4 linked regions of the Drosophila melanogaster genome follow. Changing the gene in region 4 together with the main gene of any one other region gives a genetic interaction. Each region holds a gene or a part of one and is shown on either strand. Other genes may lie near its edges.

The links.
Region 1: of Syx7 (region 4) and Moe, changing one suppresses a phenotype caused by changing the other (phenotypic suppression), as found in Drosophila melanogaster (one study listed by BioGRID).
Region 2: of Syx7 (region 4) and Tak1, changing one suppresses a phenotype caused by changing the other (phenotypic suppression), as found in Drosophila melanogaster (one study listed by BioGRID).
Region 3: of Syx7 (region 4) and grnd, changing one suppresses a phenotype caused by changing the other (phenotypic suppression), as found in Drosophila melanogaster (one study listed by BioGRID).

Annotation. Positions count from the first base shown.
Region 1 is NC_004354.4:8,873,112-8,880,636, reverse strand, and holds Moe (moesin), read left to right. Parts: upstream 1-1,911; 5' UTR 1,912-2,099; coding exon 2,100-2,168; intron 2,169-3,475; exon of another isoform or gene 3,476-3,581; coding exon of another isoform or gene 3,582-3,623; intron 3,624-3,884; coding exon 3,885-4,064; intron 4,065-4,199; coding exon 4,200-4,331; intron 4,332-4,577; coding exon 4,578-4,604; intron 4,605-4,615; exon of another isoform or gene 4,616-4,776; coding exon 4,777-5,543; intron 5,544-5,737; coding exon 5,738-6,134; intron 6,135-6,235; coding exon 6,236-6,448; intron 6,449-6,525; coding exon 6,526-6,690; 3' UTR 6,691-7,014; downstream 7,015-7,525. UniProt on the Drosophila melanogaster protein: Involved in connections of major cytoskeletal structures to the plasma membrane. Together with wgn, involved in control of axon targeting of R8 and R2-R5 photoreceptors, independent of egr.
Region 2 is NC_004354.4:20,521,907-20,526,678, forward strand, and holds the start of Tak1 (TGF-beta activated kinase 1), read right to left. Parts: upstream 3,023-4,772; 5' UTR 2,062-3,022; coding exon 1,993-2,061; intron 1,453-1,992; coding exon 1,153-1,452; intron 915-1,152; coding exon 599-914; intron 540-598; coding exon 358-539; intron 136-357; coding exon 1-135. UniProt on the Drosophila melanogaster protein: Component of a protein kinase signal transduction cascade. Mediator of TGF-beta signal transduction. Responsible for activation of the JNK MAPK pathway (basket, bsk and hemipterous, hep) in response to LPS.
Region 3 is NT_033779.5:18,483,712-18,488,567, reverse strand, and holds grnd (grindelwald), read right to left. Parts: upstream 3,152-4,856; 5' UTR 2,601-3,151; coding exon 2,366-2,600; intron 1,943-2,365; coding exon 1,634-1,942; intron 1,552-1,633; coding exon 1,370-1,551; 3' UTR 547-1,369; downstream 1-546. Other genes in the region: kon (kon-tiki), read left to right, coding at 1-494; CG10283 (uncharacterized protein), read left to right, coding at 4,599-4,674. UniProt on the Drosophila melanogaster protein: Acts as a receptor for TNF-cytokine egr. Plays a role in activation of JNK signaling and is required for egr-induced apoptosis, including in wing imaginal discs during development. May also play an egr-independent role in cell proliferation.
Region 4 is NT_037436.4:21,443,809-21,448,645, reverse strand, and holds Syx7 (syntaxin 7), read right to left. Parts: upstream 2,813-4,837; 5' UTR 2,623-2,812; intron 2,486-2,622; 5' UTR 2,392-2,485; coding exon 2,271-2,391; intron 2,204-2,270; coding exon 2,134-2,203; intron 1,784-2,133; coding exon 1,639-1,783; intron 1,566-1,638; coding exon 1,149-1,565; intron 1,091-1,148; coding exon 995-1,090; 3' UTR 518-994; downstream 1-517. Other genes in the region: Alp1 (alkaline phosphatase 1), read left to right, coding at 3,896-3,971, 4,546-4,805.

The sequences.
Region 1 (7,525 bases), on a different chromosome or scaffold from region 4:
TTTATATGCATGTGTTCCGCTGCAAATTATACAAAGAGTGCCAATTGTGCAAGAAATTTTGCATTCATATCGTGATCTTTCGATTTGCAACTAAAACAACTAAAGCACGCCTCATGTTTTAGATAATCAATATATACGAATAGTTTTGGTTTGATATTAATTGCTGCTAATCAAGTGAAATGTGCGCAGAAACACACTGACTTTATTATAATATTTCTATTTCTTATATTTTGCAGATTGCAGCACAAAAACAATAAAGAGTTCAGACGATAATATCCTGGAAAGAAAACATTTCGTTTCGATAAGTACGACAAGACACGAAACAACAAAATGTCTCCAAAAGCGGTAAGTTAACCAATAACTATAAAATAATAAATAATTAGTACTGATTAGACAGTATTATAATAAGTTCGAAATATTCCATTATAATGGTAACCATATATCACTGGAATGAAACCACAAACGAATCTGATAAAACAAATGTTTTGCACTAGCGCCTAGTAAATTATTAAAGATTAGTTATATTAAATCACAACGAAAAGTTTGTCAGCTATCAGCTATCGGAAATTGTGTTCTTATCAAGAGAGCACTTCAGCTACAATTGTCGTCAATTGTGGAGTGTTGGGATCGCATCGCATCTTTTAATAGAACTTCTTCTGGGGGGGAATGGGGATGGCCAGGCGAAGACGTCATATTGGCCCAACTGTTGACGTTGGTAATTGTATTTGATTCTTGGACATTTGCCAAAAAAAATTTCATCATTTCATCAGATACGCAGACGGCGAAAAATTGGATTAGAAGACGACGTCATTGATATGAACACATGAGTAGATCATTATTTCATACCAAAGCATTTGCCAATTTCTTTTTGACATGTTGTGATTTCTTTTTTTTTTTTTTTGGCAACCGGAAAAGTTCTTATCTCACCCAGCGATGGTCTAATGACATTTTTGCCTCAACTTGATTGTTAATGAATGATGTATTTGTTATGAGTTCATCATGACAATCAAACACGTGATTTGAAGTGATTTTATAATACAATTTGGATGATTGAAAGGTGATTTTTGCACAAAGCTTTAAGAAGTCGTTTGCCTTTTAGGGAAATTTCTCTGTTCCAATGCAGTAGTCGATGCACATCGTGCTTGAATGGTTTCTCCATAACTTTCCCTTTTTCGCTATAGTTTTTCTCATCCATAACTAGATGTTTATTGGTCTGTTTGAATAGCTTGATATGTGAGTGCGGAGTGGGGAGGGGGGAGGGGTTTAATTGCTATTTGAGGCCCAAAAGCGGCATCAATAAAACAGAATTGACAGCCAACGCGTCGTATGATTGACGCTGATTTGTTTGCCTACCTTGGGGCTGCGTTTCTACGGCGCTCTCTCGTGCTCTTCGGCGCACAGCGCTGGCCAAATGACTAGTGTTCAAACTAAAAATTAGCTAACTATACAGCTAATTCAATCAATAATTCATTTAGAGAATTGGTTGTGTTTTGATTTATATATATATTTTTTAAATATATTTTACCATATTGCACTATTTACTTGACCCCCATTGCATTCACATACTTCTCTCGTTCTGGAAAACCCATTTGACCTCTATGGTCAGCAGTTCTTTTCTTTATGGTTGCGGCTGTCCACTTTTAGATGCATAATTAACATGCAATTTATATTAACTTGACAACGAATGACTGGGATAAAAATTTTCCCATTTTCTTGGGCAGAAATTAAGTTCATTTTGTGTTGTGTTGTGTGTTCCCTTAGCGTTTCTTTTGCGTTCTGCCGCCGCCGCCGCTTTCCCAGTGTTGTTTTTTGTTTTTCTTCTCTTCTAGCATTTATTTTCCTTTTGCCTTTTGCGCTTGTCTTCCCCATTTGGCGACTTAAAAACGTGCCGTGACTTTTCCATTTTCCTCAGTTGCCGCTGGACAACAGAATCGAATCGTCGCTTTTCCGCTTTTAACCATCGTGTCGCGTTGGTCGGTTGGTTTTCCCGCGTAGCTTGTGGCTGCTCAAGAATATATATATATTTCCCAGACGGAGATTTGCATTGAAAAGGCGTAATAATTCAAAAGCTACTGCGCAATCCGTTTTCGGTGCCCAAAATGGTCGTCGTCTCCGACAGCCGCGTCCGTTTGCCGCGTTACGGCGGAGTCAGCGTCAAACGGAAAACGGTACGGACCACACTGCTCACTATTTTCCACGTTTTTCCTGCTAAGCTGGAAAAGCGCATCCCCCTTTTCTTTTTTTTTTTTTTCATGTGCTGCACTTTTGTGGTTTCAAGTCAAAAACCATTTTTTTTTCTTTTTTAAAAACTGGTTATTATGCTCCAACTTCCGTTGCAAATAGCTGTTGTGTTTTTCATTCTCAGCGGCCAGGGGGAGAAAAAAACAAAGCAGAAACCACGGTGGTTGCATTAACCCAAAAACGTTAATTGGATTGAAATGAAAAACGTTTTCAATTTCCTAACATTGTGTCACGTTTGATTTGCATTCAGCAGCCGAAAGCGAAAACAAAACAATGAGCCCTCGGACTGAAAAGCAAAACCGAGCCAAACAAAATGATGAAGTTAAAAAATTTTAATTTGTTGGGTCTACCACACATTGTTTTTTCCCATGCCCAGAAAATGGTAACAAAAACCAGCGGATTTTCAAAGGGCCTTTAAAACTGAAATTGGTTCAATCAATCTTAACAGATAGGAAATAAAATAGTTTAAAAAAATTTGTAGCTGATTTAGGTATTTAGCAAAATTCCTTTGTATATTTCAATAAAGTAAAGGAATATTTTAAACGAATGGTTTTTAATGTAAGACTTACATTTGTTGGCCATGTTGTAAAAAGCGAACTGAATTGTTAGTTATATATACTCTATTGTCTGCGCTGCATATTAACCCCAATTTTGATCTACGATCGCATTTACTTTGATCCAAATGTGGCGATTGCGCAATGGTATGTAGTGTAGTTAGTACAGGTTGACATGTGCATGTGCTGTGTGTCCGACGTTGGGTGGCGATGTGGGTGGAATTTCCCTAGCTTTTCCGCCATTTCACATTGCAAGTTGGTCAAGTGGCACGCGCAGTGGGATAGATAGCGGCTGAGCTCTCTCTTTCTATCTCTCTCTTGTATAACCACCGATTACCACTCGCTGGCCATCCGGTCTATATTCCCATACACACACACACACACACACACGCACACCCCACACCCTGTGTTTTCCCCCCACTTATTTCCACTATCTAGAGCTGCCTGGTCATTTCCAGCTTGTTGCTATTGTCATGCCTGATTGATTTTTGCTTTGCTGTTTTCCAAGCGTGATTTTTCACTGCGGCCCGCTTTCATTTTCCCTCTTTCCATTTTGCCCTCCATTTTCCCCCATTTCCCCCCATTTTTTCAAGCATTTTTCACCCATTTGAAACGTGTGTGTGCGCGCGTTTAAGTCGAAAGCCCGACTTATGCAAGTCGTGGCAATCGAATCCAATCCTCCAAAGCGAAACGGGAGCTCTTGGCACGTGCCCTGCTCACATCCCGTTAATCCATCGACCCCTAAACAAATCGTGGGGGATTCTCCTCTGCACGCCACCTTCATCGATGGGTGTCAATTTTTTACTCTTTTTTTTTTCTATTTGGCTTGTGAGCATGCCCAGTTAGTTTGATCTAGTTAGCTTTTCATGTCATGGATGATGGCACTTTTAACTTAAGAAATGCAGCAAAAGAAACAAATAAGTTACATTTAATTAATAAAACATTCTGTTTGATTCATTCGTTTTTAGTTTGCCTTCTAAAGGCAATGCTTTGTTCTTTTATATATATATATATATATATATTTTTGCGTTATTTTAATCATTTAATACGATATTTTTTTAATATCACGACATCCCTTACTAATTTCAGCTAAATGTGCGCGTCACGACAATGGACGCGGAACTGGAGTTCGCCATTCAGTCGACGACGACGGGCAAGCAATTGTTTGACCAGGTGGTGAAGACGATCGGCCTGCGAGAGGTTTGGTTCTTTGGACTCCAGTACACCGACTCCAAGGGCGACTCCACATGGATCAAGCTGTACAAAAAGGTAGGCGACTATAAATTTCATACAAATAAAGTTTGAAGTTTATAGTTCAAAAGAATATAAATTTAAATTATTTACTAAGATTGCATGTACATCATAATATTTATAAATGTAATGTATGGTACATACATAATATAGCCCGAATCGCCGGCCATAAAGACAATAAAATATTTAAAGCGTGTAAAGAAGTATGTGGACAAAAAGACAGCCGACAGCAATGGAGTAAATCATTTAGAGACGAGCGAAGAGGATGACGACGCCGATGATATGGTGGGCAGAGATCGAGAATATATTTATATATATATATATATGCCAATCCAGCAAAGTACATCCACAAAAAGTCCCAGCTAGAACATAAACCGAATTATCCTGTAAAATGCCAATTCTATAATTGTATTGTATCGCCTCGCCTTCGAATGCTTAGCTTAAGTTAATTAGCGATTGTTAGAGACTTGATTTACTAATACAAATGCAATCTCTGTATATGATTTAATGCTGCACCACAACAACAAACAGACTGGATCAATGCCGTTTTCGACATGGGTAACACTCAGACGCCGCATGCACTTTTTTATCTATGATATTATGTTTATTATTTCATTATTGAATCGGGAAAACCAAACGTTTTTTTTTTTTTCGTATACAAATCCATTTGCAGTTTGTAAACTTTAGCGTGCATTCGCATCTAATAGTGATATGTTTTCGCTTTTCACAGGTGATGAACCAGGACGTGAAGAAGGAGAATCCCTTGCAGTTTAGGTTCCGTGCCAAATTCTATCCCGAGGATGTGGCCGAGGAGCTGATCCAGGACATTACACTGCGTCTGTTCTACCTGCAGGTGAAGAATGCCATACTGACCGACGAGATCTATTGTCCGCCAGAGACATCCGTGCTGCTCGCCTCGTACGCCGTCCAGGCGCGTCATGGTGACCACAATAAGACCACCCACACAGCCGGCTTTCTGGCCAACGATCGCCTGCTGCCGCAGCGCGTCATCGACCAGCACAAGATGTCCAAGGACGAGTGGGAGCAGTCGATTATGACCTGGTGGCAGGAGCATCGCAGCATGCTGCGCGAGGATGCCATGATGGAGTATCTGAAGATCGCCCAAGACCTGGAGATGTACGGCGTTAACTACTTTGAGATCCGCAACAAGAAGGGCACGGATCTTTGGCTGGGCGTAGACGCACTGGGTCTGAACATTTACGAGCAGGACGATAGGTTGACGCCGAAAATTGGTTTCCCATGGTCCGAGATTCGCAACATTTCGTTCTCGGAGAAGAAGTTCATCATCAAGCCGATCGACAAGAAGGCTCCGGACTTTATGTTCTTTGCGCCACGTGTCCGCATCAACAAGCGCATTCTGGCCCTCTGCATGGGCAACCACGAGCTGTACATGCGTCGCCGCAAGCCGGACACCATCGATGTGCAGCAGATGAAGGCGCAGGCGCGCGAGGAGAAGAATGCCAAACAGCAGGAACGGTTAGTACGGATTTCAAGTCATGTCTGTTTGAATGAATCAAAACTTTGGGAATTTCAACGAAATACAACGTTTCAATGACCCGAAACATAATGATTCGAGCATATCATTTCCATGAGAGTCTGATTCATGCACAGGCTATAATCTGCAAGCAGATGATTCCCTTCTTATTTTCGGTGTTCTTTCGTTTTTGCAGTGAGAAGCTGCAGCTGGCGCTGGCCGCACGCGAACGCGCTGAAAAGAAGCAGCAGGAGTACGAGGATCGGCTAAAGCAGATGCAGGAGGACATGGAGCGTTCGCAGCGCGATCTGCTTGAGGCGCAGGACATGATCCGCCGGCTGGAGGAGCAGCTGAAGCAGCTGCAGGCCGCCAAGGATGAGCTGGAGCTGCGCCAGAAGGAGCTGCAGGCGATGCTGCAGCGCCTCGAGGAGGCCAAGAATATGGAGGCCGTCGAGAAGCTCAAGCTCGAGGAGGAGATCATGGCCAAGCAGATGGAGGTGCAGCGCATTCAGGACGAGGTCAACGCCAAGGATGAGGAGACAAAGCGTCTGCAGGACGAAGTGGAAGACGCCCGACGCAAGCAGGTCATTGCGGTACACTTTTTTCACTATTTGTTGGCATCGAAAAAACCAATGAATATAGTCTTGATACCATTTTGTGTTCAACTTTATACTGAACATTGTCGTTTTTGTAGGCTGAAGCCGCTGCCGCTCTGCTGGCCGCGTCGACAACGCCGCAGCATCACCACGTGGCCGAGGATGAGAACGAGAACGAGGAGGAGCTGACGAACGGCGATGCCGGTGGCGATGTGTCGCGCGACCTGGACACCGACGAGCATATCAAGGACCCCATCGAGGACAGACGCACGCTGGCCGAGCGCAACGAACGCTTGCACGATCAGCTCAAGGTGGGTTCGAAATCGAGTCCCTTATGCTCCACTCAACTAACAATATCAATTTGATATATATATATATCTATATCTAGGCTCTGAAACAAGATTTGGCGCAGTCTCGCGACGAGACGAAAGAGACGGCAAACGATAAGATTCATCGCGAGAACGTTCGCCAGGGACGTGACAAGTACAAGACGCTCCGCGAGATTCGTAAGGGCAACACAAAGCGTCGCGTCGATCAGTTTGAGAACATGTAAAAGCTATCAAAGATCAGAGATCGATAGTGCGCGGGAAAGAGAGAGGGAGCGGTGAGACTCCAGAAAGAAAAAGAAAAAGATATAACTACAGCAAGAGCAGATAATAATAATGATGATTGATAATGATGAAGATGATGATGAAGAATAAGCAACAAATATAATTCCGGTCGCTGGCAAAAGCCTATTGCTAACTATCCCACCAGCGACGACCCTTTTCCACCCATAAGAACACTTCCTGCCTCCTAAAGTGAATTGAAATGAAATATACTTTGTTTGACCGTCGTTTTGTCTCGCAGCTTTTGTATAGAAGAATCAAGAATAAGCAAAAAGAAAAAAAGAAAAAATAAATTAATGGAAACTAATTTAGCCGGACACAGCACTCATCAATATGAATAGAATGAGAAGACGGTTAGGAAGGACCGCATCTATATGGACAATCAGCAAATGAATGAGGATCAAGCTATCGGAAAATATGTCTAAATCCAAGCAGAAGCAATAGAAAATATACATTTCTCCTTTTCCCAATGGATTCATTGAGAAAACGGAACGAATAGTAATAGATATTGAAAAGGAACATCAGCAACAATAAACAACAACAACATCAACAACAACAAGAACAGCTACTACAACAAAACAAACAACTATTTGCATTTTCCCCCGTTATAATTATTATTTTTATTATTATATAATTACTATTTTTTTTAAATTTGTATAATTAAATAAGAACTTGATTAATTGTTTCTTAAATTAACTTGAGAGAGAGCAACAAACAAAAAGAGAAAAAATATATTATATAAAATATTTTTCTTTAATCTATTTTTGTTTTGCAAGAAAA
Region 2 (4,772 bases), on a different chromosome or scaffold from region 4:
TGCTATCGCGTTCACATTGGCGTTGGCCGCCGTTGTCGGTGTTAACTGTGTGGACGAGGGGCTCAGTTCCCCCTCCTGCGAACTGAGGCTATCCGGTTGAGCGGCCACCGTGCCGTCGCTCTCTTTGGTGACAATCTGCGAGCAGTTCAAGGATCAAGAGTTAGCAATGTGTGGCAAAGGAAAATAACGCAAAAGTGATGTTATCCGTATAGGGTAATGATTGCATTTAGTGCCAAACAATATCGAATTTAAATTAGGTTTTAAAGACGGGCAGAGTAAAAGAACGCTTTCCTCAATAGATAAAAACACCAATTGACTCTTTTACAATTGTGTATTGACCCAATAAAGCTGTCTCACCTGTTGATTAACAAACGTGTATTCCAGGGCCTTGTCCGCCCCCGTATAGTCCTTGACGATCTCGTGCATAACGCCCACTATGTACTGCATCGACGGGCGATCCTCGGGCACCGTTTTCCAGCAGGCGGTCATCAGGTCCTCGATGCGCTTGGGGCAAGTGGTCAGCAGCGGCGGGCGTTCACCTGCGAGGAGCACAGATCTCGATAAGCTCGATGGAAAAAGAGTGAATTGGAGGACGCACCCTTGTAGATCTTCCACTGGATGGTGTAGGCATTGTCGATGCCTTTAAAGGGCTGCTTCCTGGACAGAACCTCCCATAGAACAATGGCCCAGCTAAAAATGTCACACTTCTCCGTATACTTGGAGCCTTCGAAGACCTCGGGCGCCATCCAAGCGGCACTGCCGCGATTGTTGGTCATCATGGTCGACTTGTCCGCCACCGTGCCGAAGTCGCATATCTTCAGATTGCGTCCCTTGTTGGTCAAGAGCAGGTTCAGCGGCTTCACGTCGCGATGTATTAGTGGTTTTGGCGTCATGGCATGCAAATATGCCAGACCCTAGAGAGGAAAACAAATGGAAATGTAATTAGGGCTAAACTTTAAACAAATTACTATTATTTTAATTCTGGTTATGCGGAATAGCTATTGAAATTGTTTAAGTAATCATGCAAGCAATGTGAATTACCACAATCCATTTGAGTCATTATTTCACCAGATAATTTCAACGAATTGGATGGAAAGCGCTACGGGGTTGAGCCCTACGTTATAACCGCCCCGCCCCTCGACGACGACCTACCTCTGCACATTGGCGCGCCCAGCTCATGGCGTGGGCCAGAGAATATGCCGGCTTCACCTTGCCGTGAAGGAAGTTGTGCAGCGATCCACCTTCGGCGAACTCCATTATCAGGTAGGTGGCCTGCTGGTACGAGGATATCCCGTGCAGAGCGATGATGTTCGGGTGCTTCACGCGCGACAACTGCTTCACCTCCTTCTCGATGTCCTTCTGCTCGGCGCTGGCGAAGAACTCCTTGACGGCAACCAGCTTGTCGCGCCAAACGGCCTTGCAGACCACTCCGTAGGACCCATGGCCGACTTTCTGCGGGGAAAAAGATTATTAGATCTGATTCAACAGTTGTACCCTCCTTGTGCAAAACTCCTCAATACTAATTACGTTATACACCTTGGTCTAACACAGTTTGAATTGACTTCAAGTAGAACACACGAACGCATTGTGATGGGTAAATTTGAAATTCGTTTCTTATCAAACTGATAAGATCGTATCGTTAATAAATATGCTGATATTTGTATACAGTCTGTAGTTTGTTTTAATAAGTTTGAAACGAAATCCTAAAACGAATGTAAGCATTTAGGAATGCGTAAGTTTAAAATATAAAACCTTTCTTGGGTTTTTTAACAGAGCTGTTACAAAGCATACACTTTTAAAACGAAAAAATAACCGTTTATAGATTAAAACATGCTTTTTGAAAGTGCGATAATCGTCTGACTAACTAAGAATGAGTACTTGCTCTGCCCTAAATGGTATATGATTACTGGTTGTTTATCGTTTCAAGATTGCGTATACGTATACACCAATAGGAGCTCTAGACTTTGGGTATATTCCGTTTGGTATGCACACCTCTCTTAGTGTTATCTCACTGAAGTCCACATAGGCTGCCTGCAGTGCGTCCAGCGATGCTGTGGCCATCTCCGTGGAACGCTAAGTATCCTGGTGTTCTCTACTTGCTTTTCAGATGCAGCTTTTGTTTGTCAGTGTTTTGGCTTACAAATGAGTACTAGTTTACCAGTTGCAGTTGCATTTGGCGCCGCTGATTACCAGATTTAAAGTTCTCTTCAACTGTCCAAGTATGCCACCGATTCCTTGCCTTAAGGCTCTCTTCTATGGTGTCCAGGTGGTGCGCTATTTTGGTAGAATTACCGGGATTTCGCCTTTTTAGTGGCTACGATTCCGTGGGTTCCCGATTTCATTGCTGGCTAACTGTGCCTTTGGTTCCCTCTTGGGGACAGAGTTTTCGGAATCTTTGCAAGATCTAGACCTGGATTCATCATAAAGTTTCTTGCCTTTGTATAGATTGCGACTGACAACTTTTACCACGTCATTTTGCTAAGATATGGTGTGTTTCGCAGTTCCCAGGAGACTTCAGATGTTATCTAGATTCCTCAGCTGCAGGTTCCTGGACAAAGTGGTGCGTGATGCCAACCCTAGTGGATCGGTTTCCGTGCTCAGCCGATTTCCCAGACACCGCGGTCTCCGTGTCCTTTGTAGTCTGCCTGGTTCCACCACTCGTGCTACCGGTAGACTTCTCCAGGCGAAGATGATTGCTGTGCAGGACTGGGACTGGAACTGTGGGGTAGAATGAGCAGGCGGTTGACAGCAAGAAGGTGGCTAGAAGAGGGGGGCACGAGTTTATATCGACCAGCGGAGAGGGCCCAGTGCGCACATCACATCCTGGCCGGGATTCCTCCGGATTCCGGGCTCAATGCTTGAACAGATGGCGTCTGCATCGGACGCTGCCTTGGCGGGTTCTTGCGTTCTTCGCTGTAGATATACGCCGTACTTTTCAAGTACAAACTTGTTTTTTTTTTAATAATTTAACAAGACCGTCATCGATACATTAGTGCCAGATATCGGGCGCAAGGTACGTCGATATTTTTGCCTAGCACAGTGTGGACTCGCCGATAACGATAACATTGGTATTTGTATTTTTAATTCCAGCGACATCAATGGATCTATCCACTTAAAAGATACTTATTATTTGTGTGACATATTTTCAAAAATTAGGCATCAATTTAATTTTTACACCCGAGATACCAATACTCCCAATAAAAATAGTGATGCCATCTCGTCAGAGGAGCTGTGTCGCCCTCTGGCGCTTTGCATGCGTCTCGGGGTACCTATTACCTCCGATAGATGGCGCCAGTACATCCCATTTCGAGAGTTTTCAATCGTTGTTGTATTTTTAAAACGATAAGATAGATCTATTTAATTCTCTCTACCCGCCCATTTCCTCTGGCAACTCCAGTTGTTGTTAAGACATTTTGTAGTAAAAATCCACACGAATTTCAAAAATCCACCAACAAGTGCGAAGATGTACTTATATTGTGTAACGGCTTGTCACCTTTCTCAATGCATCATAAAAGTCCATCCTGTTTGCCCAGCTTTTTGTTCGTAATAATACACGGAATACACGCGTCTATAAGCTTTTCGACCTTGCTCTCTAGGTGTGGAATCCAAAACTGCTGTTGTATAGAATGTACGGTTTGTTCTGGTTTGCATAATGTCCGAATCCATGAGCTTCGTTTATAATCTTACGTTCGATTATTTTAGGTACAATAAGCAAATCATTTCCTTTGACAAACATGAATAAAACTCCTCCCTTCAGTTTAAGGTCATTGTAAGGTCGTTCTTCCAATATCGTGCGTATGAAATGACATTTCTTTCACTTTATACGTAAGCCGAACTTCGCTGATTCTAATAGCACCAACTTTAGTTTCTTAATACATTCGTCATTCGTCTGTCCATATATTATAATATCATCCATATAGAGTTGTAGAATGTCTCGGGAATATGTGGTTTATAAATCTTATAAATGCCGCAGTAGAATTGCAGGAAATCGACACAGGGAAGCAATCCTTGAGAACCATGCTGTTTAATTGGCGATAGTCCTATACAGATTCTGTAAGTGCCGTACTTTTTTCTTCACTACGACAGTTCTACTGGCGAAGCTTGAAGTAGATGGTCAATCGATTTCTTCTTTTAACCAGTCATCGACTTGTTTTTTAACGGCTTTGGCTTTAACTGGCGGATGTCGACTTGGTTGATGACGAAACGTCTTAATTTTCTCATCCGGCACAATTGGAGGTTGGATGATATTCGTCTATCAGCTTCCGTATCATAGGTGCAAATTGGGGAGGAGCATTCACATTACTTTCAGTGCAAACATAATCGTGAATACTTATCTGGTTAATGTTAGCTACCTCAGGCCAAGCTGATAACGACACAAAACGTAAACCCATTTACATCCAGTGTAAATTGAAACTTCGATAGAAAATCGTATCCAATGCACTTCCATCACCTTCCATTTTTTCATCCGCCACCACGATGAAGTTTTGAACAGTCTCCATATCGTCTATTTGAACATCTCCAGCGAAAACTCCCAGAGGCAACGTGGCCGCCTTGCCCAGGCCACGCAACAAAGAACGACATGGACTTAGCACAACATCTTTTTGCCTCATGTACACCGAGTACATCACAACCGTAACATCAGCACCCGTGTCAACCCAGCAAGCAACTTCAATACCATTTAGTATAATCCTTTACCAATTGCACCAATTTCCAACCAACTGACTGCGGGCAACTTGTTGATATATGCACATATATGCACACAGCACCACACT
Region 3 (4,856 bases), on a different chromosome or scaffold from region 4:
TGTTGATATTAAAGATCAGGAAACTGAGAAAGCACAAGGCAGATATATCCAAGGATCAGCCGCCGGCGCTACCGTGTCCACCAGACTTGACTTCTGTGAGTCCGCAACACCATCTGCACCATCATCATGGCCACCATTACGCAAGTTCCGAGGCGGATTCCGTGCCGGCCACAGGAAATTCAACACCGTTACCGGGTTTCAGCAATATTCCCCATTGCAAGATAATACCCGTGGAGTCGTACAAACATGAGTATCCCGACTACGATCCCGATGAGGAGGAGACGGACGATCAGTGCGATCCGCAGCAAATGATGCTGCCGCAGAGATATAATCCTTATCACATGGAGCACGACGCCTGGAGTTCGTCCTGCGATATGGCGAATGATTTTGCTGGCTATGCCTCTGTGCCACAAAGTATTTCCGGATCGGTCAGCTCACCGCCCTCGGCCCCGCCAACAAATCCACTACTTAGGCGGAATCAGTATTGGGTGTAAGGTTTAGAAGGATGTTCTGCAATAAAGGGATCAATACAAGCGTTTCCAATTCGATCGGAATTAGTCCTAGGTTATTTATTTAAATATAAGCTTACGTTTAAGGCTGATTTATGAGATTCGTTAGGAAAAGTGAAGCATTTTATATACGAAAACATTAATTATAGTTTGGAAACAAGCACACATACATATCTGGCGTGTCATATACAAACGATTAGCATTAAGGACGAGAACAAGAGTTATACTCAAAAAGCCAACTTAACTTAGCCTTAGAATTGTGTTTGCCAACGTGGAATACTTTTTACAATAAATGACAATACTTTTAAGCGTAGTTCCCGTGTCTTATTTCAAAACTCAAAAAATTTTCAGGAAGATTTATTTCGCATTCGTAATTATTTTAACCGGATGGAAGTGTGTTGAGAAACGTTTGTGGTGATTGCGAATGAATTGGTTTTCCCCCATATTACCATTTACAAAACTTTTCCACATAAAAAACTTAACATGATAATAAATTGAACATTATAAATATATTTCTTAACAGTTATAAATATGTCTCTTCGTTCATAGTTGTGATGTTGTAAGTATTTTCGTTGCTTTAAGGAAAATATTAAAGTAAAGAGAAAAAAGTTCCTTTACATATAATTTCATACAGATCGAATATAAGTTTTCAGGGCCACATTGGGTTATCAAAAATATGTCCCAACATATATAAACCTATTAATTAAGGTTTATATTCTACAGATATGCGTATATATTCCATATTGATAGAAGACTTCTTGCTTAATAACTATGAAAAATATCACTAGTTTTAATGTGGTGCACATTTTGCTTTCGCTGGACTGATTTAGAAGTAAGAGTTTTCAAGTACTTGTATGGCCTTAGAAAGCGACGGGAATCGTCGCTGCTGAGGGTTTCTCGGAAACCGGCGTTACGACCATGGCCTGATTATCGTATCCGTATCCGATCTCCGTCATAACCGTTGTGGGCGTGGTACTGTTTTCCGCCGGATAGCGAGTGCTCACCGGCGTTGTCATAGTCACAACGGAACCCTCGGCAGCACCTGTAATAAATCATTGCAGGTATAATGTGTACATTGGGAAGTGTTATTGGAAAAACCCGGACAGGTAGATCCTTACACTTACCTGCCACACTGTAGATCTGTGATTGTGCCCGCTCAAGGTCGCTGCCGGGATGGTTAATGGCATTCAGATTCTGTATGGTGGTAGCATTAAGATCCTTTCCATTTGCAGTTGCCGGATGAGGGTAGGCCTTCGATTGGAGACGGCGCATCAGCTTCTGGAAGCACCGATTGCCTATCAGCCATCGAAGGAACTGAAACGCGCAACGAAGCGCAATCAGGACGAGAAGGATAGTCAGCAGCAAGAGGATCAGCTGCTGGGTATTCTGGATGTCCAGCATCTCGGCTTTTAACGGCTCAAATGTCTTGTAAGCTGTGGGTTGATAAAGAAATTAAATAATATCGCTACTATTATCGTTTTAAGTAAATAATAATTGATAAAACACGGGAACGTTTTTGATAACTCGTTGTACATAGTCAGATAAAAATTGCAAATGCAACTGGCCTTATCTTGCCATTACAACTTTTACAAATCTTTTACACTAAAAAAATTATTATAAAGCTAGTTTCAACAAATCATTTTTATTATAAAAATGTACATTCTTTAAATCTTTAAAATACCCCCTATTTTAGTCAACTCATGGGTGATGAGTTAATCACCCGCTGAAGCAACTGTAATTGAAATACAATTAAGTCCAGCTGGAAAAACCTGAACTTGCATAGAACCCGCCAAATTACCCTATGGATCGTGAGTTAATCTGAGGTAATCTTTTGGAAATCTTTGAATTCTACTTGCCTGAACATTCCTTGGCGCACAGAAACGCATCGTAGTTGTGGGTTTGATTATTGCAGACCTCGATGCACGGATGACATCTCTCCGTTGCAACATAGCAAAATTCATTGACCGGATGACAGATCGTGCCATGGCAATCCCTACTCTCTCCATTGGCCGCAGCTACCAAGGAAACACTTGGAATCAACGGAACTCCACCAATGGAGAGCGATAGGGCACTCAACTTCCTGACCGACATTTGAGGTATTTTATAATGTGTGCTTAATTTACTTGTTATGGGTATTTGGTTTTGTAGCGAGCTCGTTCCGCTAAGTTTGATCGAAGTTTACATTAGCACTGTTACAACTTTTTCCTCGTTTTAAGGTTTTTGTTTTGTTATTTTTAAACGTATCCAAAGTATGATTCATACACCAGTAACGCGGCCCAGACGCTAACTGACTAACTTCTTTTTTAATTGCTGGCTTCTGGAGTCTGAGTATTTTGCGTTGCCCTTATACGTATAATCACATGTGTATTGGTGCAAACGAGTTTATCTTAGCCAAGTTTTACAGCAGTTTTCATAGTATTCCGGTTAGTTTCTCAACATTTTCACACATTTTTCTAGGGGATGTCCGGACACTTAATTATTAGGTTTAATTCTGTATTTTTTACACCAATATATTATATATTATATGATTTAATACGCTTTTTAACTTTAAACGTTTTTAGCCATCGTTCAGCGACGCGTTTTGAGCCACATTCAACTCGTTACTGACTGGAATGCCGCGATCGCTCGCTGTTACCAACAACTCAGCACTCGCACCGAGGCATCTATCTCAAATACACACTCATTCGCACCGTGACTTGACTTTTGTTTACCTTTTTCACGTCGATTGTAGATGCAAAAGTATCTGTATATCTATGCTGTGGCAAGTAATACAAGTATTTGTGTGTCTGCGATCGACTGTTTATTTTGCGCTATGAGTGAAATACTCCCGACTTCGGCATACTTTGAACCCGGCTTCAGTTTCTTAAATTTCGGCTGCGATTTGACTTATAAAAATAAATAACAACGAGAAGGTAGTGCCTCAAGAAGTATTTTATAGAGACTACTTGCTCACTCACTTTATTACCCAAGTTATCAATTAAAATAATAATAAAGTTTTATATGAATAAACGACAATATGTTTAAGATAACTTTTATTGAAATTCCCAGTATCCCAATATGAACTATACGTTTAAAGTTTTTTTTACAACATTACCTATTATTTAAATTTTAATTATAATACCTTACTTTCACAACTAACTAGCAGTCGTGATATTTATAAACAAGTTTCTAGCTACACAATTTTTATCTAATTAAATATGATTTTGGAATTTTTTAAGTGTAGCATTTGTTGAGGATTGAAACCTCGCTTAGCTAACGCAATGGTGTATGTCTTTACTAAACAGCAAATGCCATATACATAAATAAAAGAAATACTGAAATTCGTTGCTCCCAACTCATTTTGGAAAATTAAATAATAATAAAAAACCATATGTACATATATACCGTTTAATGAATTTATAAATCAATAGTAAAATTATAACTTTTTGTATTTAGATTTGAAATCTTTTTGAAACTTGGCAGCACTGTTTTGAGTTATTCTCTCTCCTCTCTCTTATTCTCTCTTCCATTGCAGTGCCGCTTTCGAGATACATTTGTATCGGCTTCCAGTTCCAGCGCCGCTTGCAGTATTATTGTGTCTTCCAGTTAGCTGGACTGTATGGCCAAGTCAAACAACATCCATTCGCTGAGCGGCTTTCGCTGTTGAATGAGCTGTTTTGCTGCTTTCGTGGAACGACGGCCGCCGGTTCGTTGCGTATCTTTGGGATACAATACCTAAATCAAATCGAATTTTGAATTGCAGCTGTCGTTGTTGCGCGCGTGTTGATGGTGGAAATTGTGGAATTATAAGCATTATATCTCGTGTGGAAGTGTGAAAGTGAAATAGTTGCACCGAGAGCGACGCAATTAGATGAAAATATAGTTTACTCACGCTCTGTATCGCCGCATCTATGTATCTATTTTGCCAGCCCGCTTCAACAAGTAAACCAACATAAATTAAAAATCAGTGGAGTGGAAGGCGCGTCCTTGAGCTACCCAATTTAAACACCTGTTTTAGAACGAGATACAGATATTCTATAGAGATTTGAGCCACCGAAAGAGACAGCCAGAGCCTGTTAGAAAGAGAAGGGTGGCGAGAGGAGGAGAGAGATGAATAATTTCACAACCACAACAGCAGCCGCACCACCAAAGGAAGCGCTGCCCCGATCAGGACATGTTAATGAGGGTAAGCATGGGTTAAGAACCGAACCGAAGCAAACCATTTCGAAATTGGTTGAACATGAACAATTTCGTACGGGGCCTTGGATAATTGGAAATTGATTGGGTTTGAGTGTAGCTATTGAGATGAAGGGGCTTTGGAATTGGGGCGGGGGGGGCATGAGCACCACATAGAAGTGATTAATTTGA
Region 4 (4,837 bases):
CGATGCCAACAAGTGGATAAGAAGCCACCACACAAATGATGCCCAAACGAACTATCAATGTCAGTGAATTGGCAAAAAATTTAAACTCAATTTGTATGCAGGCCTGCGGAGCTGGAATTTCAAATGTGGAGGAAGATGGGGTCCGGCGACGAGGAAACCCTTTAGCCCCGGCTGACACACCTCAACGATGCAGCAAGCTGAAGTGGGTCCACCGCATCCAGGTCTGTCGCGGCATTAATGTGCCATCGGAGAGTGTGCGCTCGCTGAACACATAGTCGGATTGGTACCAATGTTTTGGGATCGAGATCGGGTTGGGAGTCGGGAGATGGGAGCTCCTAAGCCGCTAAAGCATGCGTAACAATGGCCAACACGAAATCTTAATGATCGCTAAGCCAAGGAGGAGTCGATGACCATGCACTTCTCCGAATGCCCAGAAGAGCTGGCGAGTTCCATTCATTGATTCATTCAGGTCGGGCCCTAAATGAAGTGCTCCAAGTGTTTTCAACGCACGCAGGATCGATTTTCATGTTTATTATTTCATTTTTCGTACATGTGTGTATGCCATCGCATATATGGCTTCCTCTGCCTCTTAACTCTAAATACAATACAATACAATACAAAGCGCTGGCGAATGAGTTTCGGAACATAATTAGAATTTGAAGCCAACAGTTGTTAATCAATACTAATAATCAATATACAGGGTGCGTAATAATAAAAGTAGTACACATAAAATATAAAATTGTTTTTAAAGCAAATATAACAGATGCACGTGCCGGTGAATACTCCTCAAAACACTATATCTTCGTCTACGAGTCGCAGTTTTCGATTTCAGCCAGTATTGGAAGTTGGATTAAGGATTAAAGCCATAATCTCGCCTAAGGTCCAAAGGATTGGGTGGGGAATTACGGGGTTTAGGGGCCTGCATGCGGCAACTCTTGTCTTTTCACAACAATTTACTAGTTTGGTTTGAATCATTCGGAGATGCCGGAAGGCTCTAATTCTTGAACTGAAAAACGAGTATCAAGATGATGGCCAGCAGCACGGCGCTCAGGATGCCCACCAAAATAAGCTTCTTCTTGCGCACTTTGTTCTAATAAACAACATATTTAAATTATTTAAAATAATAACCTTGTAGGGGCGGCACTTACCCTGTAAGAGCTCGCCTTGCGCAGATTTTCCGTGCCCTGCGAGACAAAAATGCTAGTCTGTTCCACCTGCGACTCGATGGAGTCCACCGTCAGTCCCTGCTCGTAGACCAGGGCGCCAAGCTTCTTGTATATCTCGTTCACGCCCACGATGTTGTTCTCCAACTCCCGTATGACCTGCTCCTGTTCCTCGAGGGCCTGCAGGTCCGCCTGCTCCTCCATCTGAGTCTGCATCTGTTGCTGGTTTGATTTGCGATTGAAGAAGTTGTCCTCGAAGAAGGAGTTGTTGTCCTGCTGGCTGGCGCTACTGTTGGAGCTGCCGGTACGCGATGAGCCGGGTGGACGGGCGATGTTGTAGCTATCTCCGCGCGCCTGCCGCAACGCCGTCTTCTCTATGTCCGCCGTCTTGCGCTGAACAGACTAAAAATACCAATGATAAACAATCAGCATGACTCACAAAACCATTTGCTTATCTGGGAGAACAAAAACAAACCTGGAAGGCGGTCAGTGCCGCCGTGAACTCGTCCACGAGCCTATCCCGCTGGATCTTCAGGTGGCGCTCCTTGCACTTGTCCACCTCGTTGATTTGATTGTTTGTGTCGGTCACCAGCTGGTTGGTGTAGGTCATTATTTGGTGGCTGTGGAGTAAGGGATTGTTATTTTTATCGTGCGTTATACATTGATTTGATTTGTGAATCACACTGTGCTGATACGTTTAAACTTTCAAAACCAATGACTGACTACAATGTTATTTTGCTGTTGGTTTATGTGGTCGGTTGATGTGCGCAAAATGTATTAAAAGGCTGTATTGGCTTAAGAAGATTTTTAGACATTGTGAGTAAACACCCAATAGAGATCTTCACTATGTCTTTAGAATTTATGATTTGTCTGAGAGATATTCGAATAATCGATGTATATCTGCAATGGGTTCTATCTATGGGGACAGTTTAAATTCCAAACGAAGAGATCGTAATGATAATCATCTTACAGCTGCTTCTTGAGCTCCGGAGAATCTTGGGGCGTGTTCAGTTGATTGACCATGCGCTGCATCGTGGACACTGCGAAAGAGACAGAAACCTAGATTAGTCATAGGCGAAAGTTGGCAAGTGCTTCGACGCCACTCACCATTCTGCTGCACCTTCTGGATGCTGGTGGCTATAATCTGGGCCAGCCTTTGGAAATCTATTTCGCTTAGGCCACCTCCTCCCCCGCCGCTTAGACCATTCTCCATATGCTGTAAGTCCATGCTTTCGTAGGCAGACACTTTGATGACCTTCGAGTTATCGCTGGAGACAAGTTGTTCCTGGAGAGACAGACAATCGAATTAGCCCCGTGGCCCACTTATATCACATTCGCTTTTATGCGTCTCAGCCAGGTTCTTGATTCTATATTCTATATTCGTGCTTGTTTGTTAGTTTGTCTGTTTGTCGGAATGTTTGCAATTCGCATTCCCTTTGTTTGCTGCACAGCCACACACCTTTTGTGGTTGCCCTAGCTGTCGTTGGTGACCTTCGCCGGTGACCTTGATCTTAGAGCATTTCCTTCGCACTTTTTACGCGTTTCGCAATCTGAAATTTGTTGATTTAAGTAGGCGGAATGTTCGCAAAACTGAAATTTTAGCTAGGTTTTTACAACAATTGGAATGGAACTGCCAACTTGTGAGAAAGTCACTTTCGACTAATACCCAAAAGTGCCTTAGCGCGTGATGCGTTTAGCATCACTTCCTTGCTACGCTTTACAGCACTTCAATTATATCGATATCTGGCGCGGCATTCAAATAGCAGATATATAGAACTGCATTTTAATTATATTCTTCCCCCTATATTTTGTCTCGAAAATGTATATAAGTCCTGAGATTTATTATTGAAAATCGATCCATGTCTAAAATGAACTGCTTAATGTTATTATTCAAAATTATAAATTATTATTTTGCACTTTTTCTCCAAAATTAAAATGTTAGATTAGGAAAATGTCGTATAGAAATGAAAATGACCAACAATGATGCCTTATAAAACAAATAAGTCGAATTTTAGACAGTTTTCCTTCCGTTCAATAAATATGTTCATACCAAATTTAATAATAATGTAGGTATACAAAACTATTTTGCTTACCCAGAATGTTATTCAAAACTTAAAATTTAACATTGTACAACTCAGGGTATTTGAAACCTGTTTAGCAGAAATAAAATTGAAGATTATTACTTTTCTTAAAAAAGTCAAATAACTGGTAGACAAAATAAGTGCAACTCGTTTATAAAAAAAATCAAAAGCAACTTAATTCAAATTAACGTTACAAATTAGTGTATTGGAGATATTTATCAGTATCCGGTGTTTGGCACGGTTAATGAACTTTAGATCGCAGAATGAATTAGGCTGCTTCGATGCATCCACTAATTACATCATCTCCTACTGCGATGCAAGATATTATGCAAATGACCAATGCAACGAACCTGATTTTTGGAGAACATCATTTTAATCTAAGCTGTGCTGGCTGCATAATTTGAATAAGGGCATAAATGCCTTTCTTTCATCCCGAAATTCCGGTTGGTAGGTGTATTTAGAAGCTTTATAATACAGGGACGGGTTTTAATTTATTGTCTCAGTGTTTTTTTATAATTCGACTCGCATTTTCGGTCCCTGTCTTACCGGGCTCGTATAAATAAGCCTCCAACTGCGAAATGCGGCTTAGTCGATCCGTAGACTTCGTAACGCCCCGACCAGTCGAAAGTTAGTTCATCAAAATTCCGTGCGATGCGTGCTCTCCGGTTCTTTGCGGCTCTTGCCCTCCAACTCACGGCCTGTAGCAGCCAGTACAAATATGGGCCAGGTGCGTAACGTCAAGACCGAGATCAGAAACGGGCCCAAAAGACCCGAAATGAATAAATGAAAAACGAGTGAGAGTGTGCCAGGTCGAAAGCAAACTCAAAACATATGCAGAATTGATTAATCAAGTGCTAAACGGAGTATAAAAGGCGTCAGCAAAATACTCGTAAATTGAATTAAATATTTGACACCCGCTAACAGAGCTGTCAAACATCACTTTTTCCGAAGGAGAATGTTTTAACGAAAGTGGATATAAGACTAATACTTTAAAATTTAAATTTGAATTAATTTTAATGCTTAATTTCCATAGGTTTCTTTCGGTGTTTTATTTATGTGCTATCTTCTGAAAGCAATTTCCCTTTTTAATGATTAATTCGAAAGTGGAGTGGAAAACAATGGCAATTGTGTCTGTGCTTTTGTTTTGTAAAACGAAACATGTGCTTGGAATTGATAAATTCTTGAGGTTGTACTTGAAATGTGTATGCATATCGGCTAGTAACAAAAAATGGTTTCAATTAATCAGAATAATATGCATTCTTAATTTATAATGAAATAAGCTAAAATCGCATTACTTTCAGAGCAATCCTGGGACCTCGACTCTATTTCCGAGTTGAAGAGCAAGGAGTTCTGGTTTCACGACGCCCAGCGCACGCTCTACAATAAGCTATCCACTCCACCAAACCAATATCGTGCCAAGAATGTCATATTTTTCCTGGGCGACGGTATGTCCGTTCCCACGGTAACCGCAGGCAGGATCTTCGATGGACAGCTGCGTGGAGTGGTGGGCGAACGGAATCGTCTGGAGTTCGAGAAATTCAACTATGTCGGTCTGTCCAAGGTACTTAGAAGTCAACGAAGTCATTTGTTATC